Linked DNA regions of Oreochromis niloticus. The protein of the gene in region 1 interacts with the protein of each later gene in a pairwise test. Links are inferred from orthologs where the notes say so. Each region holds a gene or a part of one and is shown on either strand. Other genes may lie near its edges.

Region 1 (7,910 bases):
GTATGGGCTGCCCATTTTTCACCATAAAAAATAAAACTTTTCTGAGAATTCAATTTAATTAAATTGGTCGTACATATGTGACTTCATATCTGATCTCAGAAAACCTCGTCTCCTTTTGCCTCCATTTACCCTTTTTTTTTCCTCTAGTGAGCACAGGGAACAATCTGAGCATAAGACAGCATCTAGAGAATTAAGGACAACGGCCCCCTTCTCCAAGGATACCCACATTTACCACAGCTGCCCTGGTGTGCTACAGATAATTGAATTAGCTTTAACAAATGCAGCAGAGGCCTGACTAACATCAGGAATGGGTGAATAGAACAAGACGTTGCCTCATAACACCGTAGTTCCCCTTTAATGTACTGCTTCATAATGCTGTCTTGCTTACACTGTTGCCTATTATTTCAGCAGTACTGTGTTTGCTGTTTTGTTTACTTTAAAAAGGCAGTCCAAGTTGAGGAAGCATAAAAACAAAAGATAAGTACTTCGGAAAAAAAGGAAAGAAGGCTTTAAGCTTTAATTCAATCTTTTCTAATAATACAGCATTGGGACGTTATCTACTCAGCTCTAACCATCTATCAGGAAATGGCCTGAAAAACCTCTCAAGACAGCGTCTGGGGTCCTTGTTGCTAGGGAAAAGCCTCACCAAGCCCCTAATCCACTCCTAGTGCTCTCCTTGCCAATTAGAGATGTGTACAAGTTAGTGGATCACTTTAAGTCATTCTGATTAGTGATTGCGTGTACAAAGGAAGGAACTAAATGTAGTAGTACAATCCTCTTCACTCACAAATCACAGACGAATAGCACCCCGCTCTTAATTCTCGTGACAGCTCAAACCATTCTCTGAATATGAGGTAGGATGTGGCAATTTAAAAAGGAACTGAGCTCTCTCCCCCCCCCATACTGTAGGACTAATGGGAAAAATGTCCTTTGACACCGAACTGTACAGACAAATCTGCCCTCCCTGTTTTTATGAGGTCACTAAAAGAGTATTGTAGAAGTGTTGCTTAAACCGCAATAAAAAATGATGAAGCAATAAAAACATCTCATGGACATCAATAAAGGGAGTTCACATGTAATAACGATGTGAGTGTTTTGAATTAAAAAAGGCATTCAAGAAACTGATATGGATACCCAATAACTTTATACCTACATCGAGCTTTAGCTAACTACACACTCTTTATGTGCCTATTAAATAAAGTGGAGTCATTTCCTGTAAGTATGACCCGTGGTTTCAGTCCTCTGCAAACAGGATAAGCCTTTAATCATAAGATATGCCCCAAAGTTATAGCCAGAGCCCAATAATCCAGAAATATGGATGACAGGCTCAGGTGATGCTGTGTCATCCTATCACTGACATCTATTTTCACTCTTTCAAACCTATTCAAACGCTGCCTCTGGGCAAGCAAGATGTCACGCTCAGGGCAACCTGATTTACTCTCCCCTCCTTGTCCAGCACTGCAAGTGACACCATCTATGGATTTTGGGGGGTCATTCTCGCACAATGCCTCTAATTTAGCTCCCTAAAGGGAGGCGGAGGTGGAGGAGGAAGAAATGCGCCAGAGGTCACCCGGGACAGAGAGGCAGCAGAGCTGCATGAGAGGCGGGGGGTTGGGTAAGGGGTGCGGTTCCCCGAAGGCTGCCAGGGTCGAGCCCTTGCCATTGTGCGACCTCTAGCAAGCTAGCGATCAAGACTGCTGCTGGTGAAAGGACTAGCTGCGGTGTACGGTGAACATCTCAAACTGCTCCACAACACCTGCACTGTCCGATATTTATCCATTCCTTTTCGTCAGTTATCAGTGATTAGCAGTTAATTGTGACACGCAATTAGTCCGGTCACTTGACAACAAACAGCCTCCGGGGCGATATTAGCTAGCAGGTGTCAAACTGGAGCAGGTCTTTAACTTGCCCGGTGAGTGGGCACACAACAGTAACTTGCATAGTACAATATATTTTGAAGTGATTCTGTTTTTCCACTCTGTCACCCCTTAGCTTCGCTACAGGGGCTTTCCAATACCGCAACTGGTCACCTACCTCCGGCTAAACAGTAAAGCCACGGGCGGCTGTGAAGCTAGGCTAGACATTAGCTGTGGTCGTTAGCGCACACCGATGCTAACTAATTAGCCGGGAGAAGGGATTGTGAAGCTTAGGTAAAAGCTCATTTTCCTCCCAGGCTGCGCTTTACAATTTGAAGTAACTTCTATTACGTGCGACAGAAAAGGGAAACAGGTAATGACATTAAGGTATGCCGACGGTGACAGGTATTTCACGTTACGTAGTTAACTAAACGAAAGCGTCGTGGAGTTGGGCTAACGTTACCTGTTTGGTGGGATCGTTTCTCCCGTGCTCAGAAGACAGGTGATGTCTCAGCAGCAAGGCCCTCTTGTAGTTGCGACTGCCTTTGACGAGCTCGTCGCTGTTTTTAGTGGCAATGTTGTGACACCAGGAGCAGGACATGAGTCCAGTCTCCTGGCAAAATTTGAGCCATGGAAATTCTTGCAACCACGAAGCGTGGAAAAGCGAGTGTTTCTGAAGCAGCGTCTGCGGTCTCATCTCTACCCCAGATTTCCTGGATCCCGTCTCGATCCCTCCCCTGGCAGTCTCCTGGCCGTCGGCGCTGTTGTTGTGACCGTTCCCCGCAACCCAGCTTTTCCCGTCCCCGGACCCGTCCTCCGCTTCCACCGAGTCGACACGATCGTCGCCGTCCCCAGCTGCCCGACTGCCCCCTTCCGGGTCCTCTTCTTCCTCCGCCTCGGGTTCCGTGCTATCGCTGACAGATCCAGCGCCCTCCACTCTCTTCTGCGACGGTCCTTTCGCCCCCAGATCCCTGTCCTCCTCTTGATCCGGCCTGTTCCCGTTAAAATGTCGATCTTGACAGGCCGGGGCCTCCCAGCTGTTACAGTTCCCCCCACCGATACCACTGGAACCCGTTAACCCAGCTAATCCACCTCCTCGGAAAGCCAGCGACCTGCGGTTTCTCTCACCGGACATTTTTTTTCTTAATATACGTTAGAATCTTCACTTTCTCAACAGTATCCCCCTCCTCCGATTAAAATGCTGTGTTTATAACCGATGTGTTTCCCGAAAGAGATGGACCGTCGTCGTTTCTGCGCTCCGCTCGGCCCTCCCGGTGAGAGTATGTAGGTTATGCGGAAATAAATAAAGGTTTTAAACGCATAATGAATTTCAGGGTTCTCGCTGCGTCCGCGCAGGCCCCGCAGAGGTCGAATGGCAACGACTTTCCTCCCCACAATGCACCTCGTCCAGAGGGGGGCGGGGGGGAGGGGACGTGTTGGTGGTAGTGGTGGTGGGGGTGGCTTTTTAAAGGAAGATGATGAGGGGGGTGTAGATCAGCATGGGGTCTTTTGTGCTTAAAAAAAAGCACCCATTTTCCGCATGCTTTTCATCTGATGTCTGTTTGTTTTATTAGACCGCAAATGTCAAATCACATTCCTCACGGCGGGGTGTCCCAACATTCATGAATGTCTGCAGTAGGAAACTTGTCGGGTGTCTTTTTTATATTATTCATTTATTTACTTTTTATTATAGTGAATATATGTATTATAAATAAAAAAATAAATAAAGGTTGGCATTTGAATATGAAGAAGTGGGGCCAATAAATATACATAAAAGCATGTTAACCGAGATATTTATTCCAAACACAATTGCTTACACTACAATAATATTAAGTCGATATTCGACATTCAACACCACAATATTACCCCTGAGCTTTATGTGGTGTGTGTAAGAATGGTGCCTTATATTTTGTATGTGCTCGAAGTATATTTGCATTTGTGGGGGGGTTTTCCCAGACCCCCTTTGTTGAGTTTGTTGGTGCATGTTGAACCCTAAAACAAAGGTTTTATTCATTAACTGAGATTTTGTATATATATTTTGAAACGCGTGTATCTGAAATAAAGTCACGTAATACGTTTGGACCCGAAGTGTCATTCTCTGGAGACTCCAGCCTTGTATTCTCCCTTATCTGCTCGTCTCCCGCTCCTTGTGATCAAAACGAGATCCAGTAGGTGGCACTCTTTCATCTGAGCGTCTTTTCTCACCCTCTGTGTGTCACATTGCTTGGTGTATAGTTTCATTGCTTCCCAATTAAGAGCTTTGCACACACAGCGTGTGAACAAGAGTGGGAATTAACCCGGGTTTGGATGACAATAACGTGGAGGATTGTATATCCCACAGGAGTGGGTAAATTCCCAAGAAGAAGACAAGGAATTTTTTGTATGGCTAGTGTGTGTGTTTATTCATCTAGCTCGTACAAGCTATCAGCTGGAAAATTAAAAAAATATAATGGAACTAAAAGGAAAAATAACTGAAATTCCTTCGATTCTGTCATACTAAAGTGCAGTATGTCATCTCGCATCAAATGAACAGCAGGCCTTGCAGGTGGCAGTCTCAGCAGAGTAATGACTGGCTGTATTTTTAAAATTAGAAATATCTTGAGTTGACTTGACTGTAAATGGAGGTTAGTTTGAGCTTAAGAAAGATATGTTCAAAACGATATTTAGCCGAATATATATATATGTGTGTGTATATATATATATATACATATATGTAACTCTAAAAAAGAAGAAAAACAAAAAGGAAATAGAAACTAATATTTAAGGCAGCCATGATAAAAAGTGATATTGATATCAATATAATTTCATTCTTCCTGTATATGCTGGAATTACATGAGGTGGAGCAGCAGTATTTTCCTCACTATTAGTATTAAAAATAAAATTATAATGATTTAAAAGCCTGATTTAACTGGCTTTTCTTTAAACTAATTTAGCTGTCGCCGCCTGTCACTGGCACCAGAAGCAACAGGTTTGCATGTGTCATAGTTTTCCTCGTATTTATCTGTAAGGCTGATCCGAAGGGCCAGCTCTGTTCTAGGATGCCCTCTGGACCCAGTGGAGGTGGTGAGTGACAGGAGAATGGCGGCTAAGCTGTCATCCCTGTTGGACAACATCTCCCACCCCATGCATGAGACTGTGACAGCACTGAGCAGCTCCTTCAGTGGGAGACTGCGGCACCCACGGTGTGGGACGGAGAGATTTCGCAGGTCTTTCCTCCCCACTGCTGTCAGACTCCACAATAAAGACTTTTGCAGCTGATCAAACACACACATCCACACATGTGCAATAAGACTAATGTGCAATAATCTTTTCTGGCATCGTTGTATTTTTACTCAGTTGTATATAGCATTTGTATTCTATTTTTATCTTATTGTATATTTTATTCTATTTTATTCTACTGTATATAGTATTTTATTTTATTCTATTCTGTACAGTTGTGTACTGTATTTATTCTTATTTTATTTTATTCTAATTTTTGCTTCATAACTTTTGCACTGTCCACTTCCTGCTGTGACAAAACAAATTTCCCACGTGTGGGACTAATAAAGGTTATCTTAAGAAAAATAAAACAACATATATATATACTACTACACTATTGCAGATACATATAAATTTTACATATACATATACATATTCTTGTTGTACAGTAAAAAAAAAAAAAAACCCCAAAAAACAGAAATACAAATAATGACGTGTCCTTGTTGCGCAGCTTTGCATTGTTGTTGGGCTAAAACTTGATCCACGTGCTTGCTTCTGTTTACACTGCTGCGTGCTGACGTCACGGCGAACCCCACCCCGCACGGCGGGCTGCCTGGCAACATGAGGCAGAGAACAGGAAGACCCACAGCAGGAAAGTGAACAACCTGCGGACCCTGAGTAGAAATCGACGAGAAACAACGCTTTGGACAGACAATGGAGGATGCAGACAAAGGTAATTAAATTATCGACGTGTGCCAGTGTTGTAATAGATGTTTTAAAACTACTTTTTCCTTAGAGAAAAGTTAGCGGACTAGCTAACTTTGTGCTGTGACTCGAGTTAGTTCGTTGAGAGCATATGCTACCTCTCGCTATACGAATAAAGTGAGTTATTTTTGCGAAGGACAACAGTGTGAAGAATTAGAAGAAAGAATTAGAAGAAAATAACTTTTTCAGCAGCACCAGTGCAAGAGATTTCTAGAAAAATGACACGGAAGTGCGGTGTCACACCACAATTTGTTTTTTTTCCCCAGCATGTAAACCACCCATTAACTTTTTAGGTGAAACCATAAACGCACATTTTCAGTTTTGGGGGGAGTTAAAAACTTTGACAGGCAGTGAAAAAAGGAGTAAAACATTAGTCAACAATATATTTTGTAACCGACGGCTTAGCCTGTAAGAATGGGTTACACCTGTTTGACAGCTCACTGCTATAACTAGTTTAGACAAGTCACGCTGTGCTCTTATGCTCTTTCAAATGTTTTTTTACACTGAAAAAAAAAAAAGAGTTTTATTTTGAAATTTACGAACTCCTATTCTGTGCCAAAGTGGTTGTGAGTTGTGGGTTTTACTGATTTTTCTCGTGCCAAACTACAGCACAGTTCAGTTAACCACAGGTATCCTGAGTGTCTTCTACCTGCATTTCTGTCTTTCACCTCGTTCCTCTTCCTGCACGTTTGCTTTCCTATCAAGCAGCTGTTCTGCTCTCTTATGTACTTAAACACAACTGCTCCTGTCTCAAGTCCATATGTCTCTGCTATAGTACAGAAAAGTGGAGATTTGCACACAAAAAAGCTTGTATGTCCAACTTTTTGTGATTTTACTTGTAAACAGCATGATCCATTCTTCTCTGATCTTTGTATTATTTTATTCTACTTCATTTGCACTAAAGTGCTTGTGGAAAGAAGCAAAGCATTTGAGTTTTATTTGTTCATTTAAAATGTCATGTTAGAATTTTTGACCAAATTTCCCTGAAGCACAAACAGCCTTCACCCTCCCCTGGGCTCTCAAAGGTAATTTCCTGATGGTTGAAAATTGTTTTGTGTTTTCTTCTTCTTCCCTTTTTAATAACGTAGAGAGAGAAAGCCAGAAGAAACGTTGCGTATGAACACCAGAATTATTGATGTAACTGGTTCCTGGTTGATAATTTGTGCTTCTCCATATCAGAAGAAATGAGGTTTGTTTCTCCATCACTTTCTGTGTTGCTGCCAGTGGACACGATAGAAAAGAATGCTTTACTTGGCTTTAAATGCCACGCTCGTGAAGCCCATTCCTGGGTTAGAGCTGCAGGTCCTGAACACATCCTTAAGTAAATGGTACCTTAGTGACTGTTTGATCTGGGTTCTCTTTGCTTGTAAAGGTTTCTTGTGGTATGCTTTGGAGGGTTTTCCCTTCCCACATGACATGTTTTTTCACTGTGTGCGTGCAGCGGATGCACCAGTAGATAACTTGTCTTTTAGTGGTTTTATAAGTTGTTGTATGTGACCTTAAAAAAACACAGTTTGAAAAAAGGCAAATGCCAGATTTCTTTTAAGGCCGAAACACACTTGCACTACAGGCTATTGTTCATCAAAATCACAGTAAAACGGGCCTGTAGCACAAGTAATCACAAGAAAGTGAAATTGCGTAGTTATCAGATAAAGGGGAACCTCTTTGCCAATCTCTAGCTTTACTGCAGCCTTGAGGTGGTGTCTGTTTACCTCTCTAGGCAGCAAAAGTAAATGATCTGCCTCTCTAGATGTAATTTTATCACCTTAAATATCATCATAGGAACTGCTGTGCTCTCTGAATTTATAGTCACACTGCTGTACAGGCAGCCAAGTTCATTTCAAGGTCAGACTTTTGGTATGGTAGCTGTATTTTACTATCATCTGTACCTGCATCCTCCTCGTGGAAGTTCAGGCCGCTCAGTGACAAGTATTTGCTTGCTCCAATACAATAAGCTCCCTTTACGTTATTTATTTATGTATTTATTTTATTTATTTTAAGGGAGCGTTTCATAGGTTAGATGCTTCAATCCTTTGTCAGTAATTCGGGTAAAGCATTTGCAAATAACTTGGTGAACAGGTTTTTGCAGGA
Region 2 (8,391 bases), on another chromosome or scaffold:
AAACACTGTTTAAAAATACCCAGTGTCATTTCTACTGATTGAAGATTATATTTTAAACTACCCAAGGCCATCGGAGAAGGTGTTGACATTTGAAGGTGAAGTGATAAGAGTGTGATGCCGAACTGTTAACAGCCACATCACTGCTGTAGTGTTTACATTGCCATCAGAGATACGGCTGGGCTGGTTGACCTTGAGGTCTTTTGTCTAAGTCACACAATTGTTTGTTGACATTGTAAACATTTGTCGTAACTTTCAGTTAGTAGCCCATAATCTATCTTGGCACACAATTTGGAAACCATCAAAGGCTACTTTCACAGGGACATACATAGGTTTGGGGGGGGTATTTAAACACTTTCATGAACTAATCAAAACTGTACAAAGCTTAAATTGTTTAACTAAACTAGCTCTTGCATCAGTGTAATCTCTCCAGCTAAACAGTGGAAAATTGTGGCAATTCAAATAATGCAGAGGCTGCAGAGACTGTGGGCAATCAAATGCATACCAATGCCATTACATATCTTTGACGAAGACAAATGCATGGCATCCCTTTCTCATATAGTCAGACTTTCCATACATTAAATGCACTTATTATTGTGTAATGTTAACATCCATAAGTTACACCACTTAAAAATACATCCACACTCTTTCTCAATCACATGTTACATAACAGATGTGATGTTTGATGTAGTTCTCCGCCTCGCCACTATAAGAGATCACACATCATTTAGTGTTTTGGCTTTTTTGGAGAATCTAAATTTTGCTAGTGGTGTGAAAGTTGTTTTTGGTTGTTGTCGTTTTGCCCCTTCATATATGCAACAACTTGACTTTGTAACCAGTTTCACCTGACAGATTAGTTAAAGGCGAGTATGTTTCTGAGCTGGAGAAAGCTGAGTGTGCGCTTTTGCGTCGCTCTGGCTTAGCGTTAACCGTTAGAAACCGTTGTGACATTTGACCAGCAGGTAAACTACATTTCACTTCTCGCGGAAACACATTTGGAGCTTGCAGTGCGCACATTAATATGCTGTCTTTATTGTCTCCCTTTAGATGCACGACAGCTACAAAATGGCAATTGACAGCAAACCCCTTCAAAGTGCAGAACAACAATAGGTTTCCCACTGTGGGGAAGGGTGTTCCCCTTTGTCCGGAGCACAGGTGCACAGGCGATACCATGACCAGCTCAAACATTTAGTCCAGTCAACACCGGATATCTGGTTAGGGGTAACGCCTAACTTTGACGGTTTTTGTTTTTTCTTAAAAAAAGAAAAAAGATTATATACACTAAAATTCTAGTTTTTTAAACTTTACTGTAGGCGTAAGAAAAGAAAGAGCCTTTAAAGACAAACAACAAATGAAAGCCTTGAATTTGACATTGTTTAAATTGACATCTAGCCCCCACCCCCGCCCCCACCTCCCTGAGGGAGAAAAAAAAAACTGCAGCACCTTAAAGTAACTCACTAAGTCAACATTTAACTCACTGTTAAACAGTTTGACAACAATGTCCAAAAGCTACTCACTTTTACTGAAGTAAACCTGTGGAGTCTGTCGAATGAATGCTGGAGATAAGACGCAAAGCGTGGCTGTAGTTAGCTGTGCTTCCTCTTCCTCTCGGCTTAAATCTTCCTCCTGACCCAACCCTTTGATGGAGGCGGAAAAAGGTGGAGTCATCTTTACACTGGCGTGAGTCGGTCGCTTAATATGGACGTAATCATCTTAGTGTATCAAATGTCATTTCGTCTCCATTCCGCGGTCAGTCACAGATGTTTCATTGTAACAGTTTGTAATGTAAATTCTGTACAGTTTAGAGCTCATTTTTTGCTCTTTGTAACTACTACTGGTTACAACTGTAAAAAAAACGACTGACACACAGAAATGACTCAGTGTGGTTCCTTTCATATGTGAATAAAAGTATGTAGAGTAAGTTGCCATATCTTTAGAGAAAAACTAAAATTACAATATGCTACCCAAATGATCACACCAAAAGCAGTTCGTGCGTATGTAATAATTACACATATATAGTAGGCCTGAAACACAGTTCACCAACCCGACTGTGCCTTTTATTGCTTTAACAGTGTTTACTTTTTTCCAAGTGTACTGCAGGATATAACATGTGGCATAACACGCTGGTGTTCCTATTCAACAAAACATGATGGACAGAAGCGATAAAAGTCGGCTTGTCTGTCAAACAAGTAGAAGCAACGTGTTTTACATAAACACACGTGGTGCATTCCTAAGGCCAGACGTGTCAGTTTATGTAACACATTTCGATTTTTAATTTTTTTTATTTGTTTTTTTTTTTTTTTTAGTTGAGCTGGTTCTATTTGCCCAAAGCAGTCACACACTCCTGGCCTTTCAAAGTGAAAACAGTAGATGCATTCAAATCTCCTGGGCAGCAGAGTCCTGGTGGTGAGATTTAACTATAATGACCATTGTGGAAGATCTGTAGGCTTCCAGCCAAGCCATGACACCACATATCAGACATGTGCTCTACTTGTGGTGTAATGAATAACCTGCAAATCACCTGTAGTAGGCTCAACACCTTGCCTAGAGCTGTAGTCACGAACTGATGACCTTTGTTCTTAGTGGGGTCCATACAAGCCAACATTACATCATCATATAAAACATCATAAAGCAAATTATGTAATGAATTCCAAGAGTGAAGAAATTGAGCAAAGCTTAAAAAAATATTATAAATAAACAACAATAAAATTAATGTTATGGTCAAAACCATAACTATAACATTTATGTGTGCATGTTTGTTAATTTAGGATTGTTTAATTTTTTTTTTAACTCATCCTTTATTTAATCGGAAAGTCACTTGAGATTAAAATCTCTTTTTCAAGGTGAATGTGGCCAAGAAGGGACACCATTACAAAACAGTCAGCAGGTGGAAACATAGAAATACAGTATAAGAGACATAAACATAAACAGAGTTTATACAGTTCTGAAGGATTTGAAAAGGTCTTCTCGACCCTGCGGGTTAGTAATCCAAAACAGTGAAAATTCATGTTTGACCATGTTTGAGAATAATATTGTAAATGTATGACGTCTGCTTGAATGTACAGTTTAATTTGAAACAATACTTTTCGCTTTTGAGCTCCAGAACAACAGAGTACTTCATGCCAACATGAGTGAAATTCCATGATGAAAGCAATTAACCAGATGACACTGTGTACAAATACTGCTGTTAAAACTGGATTAATATTAACCACAAACTCAGAGCATGTAGGTTTATCTAGCAATAGTTCAAGATACATCACACCAACAGCTGTACTAAACTGTAACTCTACAAAATCGTGTGTTTTATACATTTAAGGCATTTATTTTTGCTTTAATTTTTTTAAAGGTTAAATGTGAAAAAATTGTTCTTTTTTTTTTTTTTTTTTAAAGAAAATCTACCTGCTACATTCAAGGAGTGGAAAAGTATATGGTGCTCAAGGTGGTGTGTTTTTAAGAGAATAATAGCAGAGCATTACACTAAGTGATGGTATGAGGTAGGTGAGGAAATGCCCGACTGGTTCAACTTCCTCATCTGTCACATATCTGGATGATGACAGTCACTCTGACATGGAAAACTAGAGCAAAGGGCCAGGAATAATCATAAATGCACACCTGCTTGATTCATCCATTCTTTTCTGTGTATGTCACGGAAAAAATATGAATAACATTGTAAACAATCATTACATCGGAATCTACTTCAACTTAAGGGAAGGAAATACATTTCAGAGTTTGAATTATTTCTCTTTAACATTCTGCTTTATTATTTATTTATATTGATGAATATACTTTTTGAATAACCCAGATAAACGAGTTGTTCGAATGCTTTTGGTCATTTGACACACAATGATCAGCTGAATAAATAAACTATAATAATGTAAATGTAATAAGCATACACTGATAATTCAAATGTGCCAGAAAGTTGCTGATTCTTTAATACATGGACATTTCTTTTCACAATATTGGAAACAATGCTAACCATTACACAGCCGCATTCAGTTATTGGAGCAGCTTAATATTTTATAGTTAATCTTCAAACCTAGAAAATGAACCAAGGCCAACCTACATGTACTTTCTTTATGTATGTTACAGTAAACTTATGTTTTATTTTAGTGACTTTATATTTTATTGTTAAATGTATGGCATTAAAATACCAACAACAACAACAAAAACAATCTCACCTGTCAGTTCTTTTTTTATCAACTGACATGTAATCATGATTTAGTTATTTAAAAAGATAATCAGCTGCTCATCAGTAAATAGGGAATTTCCCTTGCTGATAACTGACTGATAGCTCTGACTAGCCTCTCGTTATCCACAGCCACACGCCATCATTACAGTCATGCTGACCTCAGGTGGATATGTTGGAGTACTGCAATTTAGATCTACCTTCCCCCACTCCCCACCCACCGTAAAGTTTTGACTGTATGGTCAAATAGACATATCAATATATTTTCACATATATATGGATTAATATGTAGGTATAGACACACAAACATATACATTTTTATCAGCTGGGAGGGAATGATTTCACAAAAAGTATAGACGGCTTCTTTTTGCATGGTGTAGACAGCCTGTGCACTTTAGTATCACCATTTTTCCCCAAGACAAACAGAGCAGCTATCACAAAAAAGGTAACCTTCTAAGGTCACAAGGAATTAGACTGTTAAAGTCACACGTGGCTTGTTTGTTCATGATTTGAATGCAGAGCTTTTTTAGTCCTTTAAAGAGAAATTGTGTCTTTCAAAGAGCAGTTTTTCCATGTAGGGAACGCACTGAATTCCAAAGCAACTTCTTTAAAAGGCAAAGAATTTAAATAATATGTTATTGAGACTTCATAAAAAATAGCCAGGCATCATGGTCGTGGACTGCCAGGCATCCAGAAATGTTTGTGGGATTATTCTTTTCCCTGTGTCCTATAAGTAGCTCAAGAGAAGGGATGTTTTCTCAGGACCTTTACCAGAGGGCTGGGCTTTGGTTGGATAAGAGGGTTGGCTGCTTTGCCTACAGAATGACAAGAAAGAAAAAAAATGAAAAAGAGGGAGGGCAGAGTCGGTGTTTGGGGAAGGCCTTTTTCAGCCCTTCTTCTCTTTCAGTTTATAGGTCCTCCACACACCCACCCACATACTGACACACACACATAGATAGCAGAACCTACTAGACAAAGTCAGGAAGTGACATCACCTACAGGAAGAGAAGGCAAATACTTTTTTTTTCTCTTTTAGTGTGTTGTCTGTTTTCCTGAGGGAAGTTGGAGCCCCTTAAGACCGTTAGCAACTAGCAGAGAGAAAATTCAGAGGACCTAGAGGGGGCAGAGTCACTGAAGCAGGCTTTCACAGGGAGTTTAGAATCAAAGGATCCAGACACTCGAATCCTCCCTGAACTTCCCACAACTCTCCACCACATTCCAAACACTCCGCTGCAGGATTTCGGCCAGGTACAGTGCACAGAGATTTTTCCATTCTGTAATGTCTTGTTTTGCTTTCCCACTGACAATTTGTTTCTTGTTGCTGCTGCACCACGAAATGAAAGACTTTCAAGAAATTGCAGTGTCTGATGGAAAATTGGTAGAAAAAGAAGAAAAAGAAGCATGCATGCGACATTACATGCTCTAACATGCTTCAGTGTGACTGCTGAGGCAAGTAGGGACAGAAATTGGTCAACGGTCACTTCCTCCTTCATACTGTCACTTTCTGTATAAATCATAACTGTTTTCGTATCCCAAAGATTTCCGAGATGAAGCTTTAACTGAACCAGTGTCTCTCAGAGTTTAGGAGTGAATGAAGCTCTGTCTAACTCTTGTTTGTTATGGACATATTCAGAGCTATCTACTGACCACGTATTCAAGTTCCCCCAGTGGTGAGTTTTGAACTGAGATCAGGCAAACTATGAAAGCTAGTGGAAAGAGCCAATGGATATGATCACATCTGTTTTTATTTCTAGCCATTGCCTTTTCCTCAGATTAAGACAGGAGGGACCCAAGTCCTCCAAAAGCTTTACAAACATGTGAGAGGCCTGTGGGTTGTGATTTTTTAGGTTATTTTGTTAATAGAAAGATAACAACACCCATATCAATATCACGTGATGGGAGTACAGACTGGCATGAAGTGACAGAAACATCTGCTAATTCAAGTCACCAGAGCCTCAGTTACAACCGTGGGAAATTCTGAATACGGCAGTTAAAAATGGGACTCAGGACACAATGCGGCTGCAGTATCATGTGTTGCAATCACAGCTGCTTTAATCTAGGTGTCAGATCTCTGGACATTCTTCCCACATCCTTCAAACGGTGAATAGAAATGTACAATTCAATTCAGTTTTGCCACATTAACGCGTTTAAAAAATATATTTGAGACTGTAAAATGTAACCGTCCATCTTCTTGCTTTAAAATAAATCCTCCAAGTTAATATTATATCAAATAAAATACGCAATCATTACTGCTTCATTACCATGACATTTAAAACCTGTGAAGTCATGCTCCCAATACAAGCAAATCACCAGGCAGATGGACAATAGCTTTGCACAAAAAATATCCCTAAACTTTTAATTTAGTTTCATATCCACTTTGTCAAACAAGAATGGGCAGTTTTCTATCTATATTTAGTGCACCCCCCACCCCCCCACAAAAAAAAGAAAAATTAAAGTCCTAGTTCTGCCTTTAAGAGCATTAAAACTATTTCACTCAGGACATTTTCTCTCACAGTTTAATCTTTAGTGGATCACAACATACCAATCATTTTCCCAGTTACGCCTGACTCAAGTGGCCTGACTTTTGGTACAGCAGACTGAAAATGTTGCTATTTTTACTGATAGCTGCAACTGAAAACTTTGCTTTAAGGTCATTTGGTTCACAAAGAGCAGCTGTGACTATAAAAAAACATTTTAGCTGGTCTTCTTTAGGAAAATGTAGGGTTTTTTTGTTTTTGTTTTTACTTTATGGTAGCTATAACAATTGTTGTCATTGAATATTGCATGAATTTTTTTACCTTTTATGTTTTATTCACCCCAAAATGACCACATAAGGTTTAACATGCCTGTTATTATCTTCACAGTGTCATCGCACCAAATGAAAACAAGAACTCCTTGCAGTCTTTACACGACAGTCGCTGACCACCTGTGACCTGATTCCAAGAGCTGAAATCCGACCGGTTCCCCTCTCCCAGGAAGGCTACACGTTCTCATACTCCAACCTAACTATTTTTCACCGTTGCGCATTCTCCCCTTATCTCAGGGGAAATAACTGAGTCAATGGCATTGTGTCTTGGTCAAGTGTTTAGCAAAGACAAAACATTTAGGCCAAAGAAGCGCTTTGAGCCCGGTACGCAGCGGTTTGAACTGTACAAGAAGGCCCAGGCTTCGCTCAAATCTGGCTTGGACCTGAGGAAAGTAGTTCAGCTCCCAGAAGGCGAGAACCTCAATGACTGGATTGCTGTTCACGTGGTGGATTTCTTTAACAGAATTAACCTAATCTATGGCACAGTGAGCGAGTACTGCAGCGAGCGCACGTGCCCTATCATGTCTGGGGGACTGAGGTATGAGTACAGATGGCAGGATGGTAAAGACTACAAGAGACCCACCAAGCTGCCTGCTCTCAAGTACATGAATCTGCTGATGGACTGGATAGAGTCACTAATCAATAATGAGGAAATCTTCCCCACAAGAGTAGGTGTGTGTGAGGAGTTTACAAATGAAACCATCGGACTGCTCTTGAGTGCGTAAGCTAATACATGACTGAGTGTTGGCTGCAGAGATTTTATATTAAAGTGTCAGCACAGAGTGCAGAGGTGCTCTCCTTCATTAAGCTCTCAAATGCAATGATTGAGTTCAAGGAGAGGTTAATTAGACAATAAAATGTTGACATTTAGAGGGGATTGTTGACTAGGTGATCATAGTGTTAAATTAGAGGTGAGAACTTCATGCGTCACAGCAGCGTGAGCTCAGAGCCTCTCTGTGGCGCAGTGGTTAGCACTGACATTCTGGGACTTCTCTTTTCTTATATCAAGCCTAGACATGCTAGTCAGGTATGATGAAAACTCAACATTTCCCACGAGTGTGAATGGGTTTTGGTTGTCTGTTAGTGCTTGACAACTCCTTCAGGGTGTTTCTGTCCCTCCCTTTGCTCAGTTATCACAATCCCCCATGGACCTGAGGGAGAATAAGACAGCAATACTGTCTTCGCTGCACCTTTGCTTAGAAATTAAATACGAATAATTAGATTGTTCTTCACGGGGCCTTTTCAGCTCTTCAGCACAAAACACAGATATTTTTATAAGGTCTTTTGGAATTGAAACACAAACTACTCAATAGATTATTTAGGAAATGAGGTAGATTAATAGCCCTATTGTAGATAAGCATGATTAATAATGCACTTTAAATCTGCATGCATGGTAAATCCA

What was found.
Region 2: the proteins of zbtb10 (region 1) and mob3c interact in binary tests that used the Homo sapiens proteins (3 or more experiments, as listed by UniProt). The link is inferred for Oreochromis niloticus from reciprocal best matches to the Homo sapiens genes ZBTB10 and MOB3C.

The regions. Positions count from the first base shown.
Region 1 is NC_031985.2:20,709,424-20,717,333, reverse strand, and holds the start of zbtb10 (zinc finger and BTB domain-containing protein 10), read right to left. Parts: upstream 3,273-7,910; 5' UTR 2,992-3,272; coding exon 2,320-2,991; intron 1-2,319. UniProt on the Homo sapiens protein: May be involved in transcriptional regulation.
Region 2 is NC_031986.2:43,323,523-43,331,913, reverse strand, and holds the start of mob3c (MOB kinase activator 3C), read left to right. Parts: upstream 1-5,111; 5' UTR 5,112-5,431; intron 5,432-5,721; exon of another isoform or gene 5,722-5,853; intron 5,854-7,047; 5' UTR 7,048-7,243; coding exon 7,244-7,661; intron 7,662-8,391. UniProt on the Homo sapiens protein: May regulate the activity of kinases.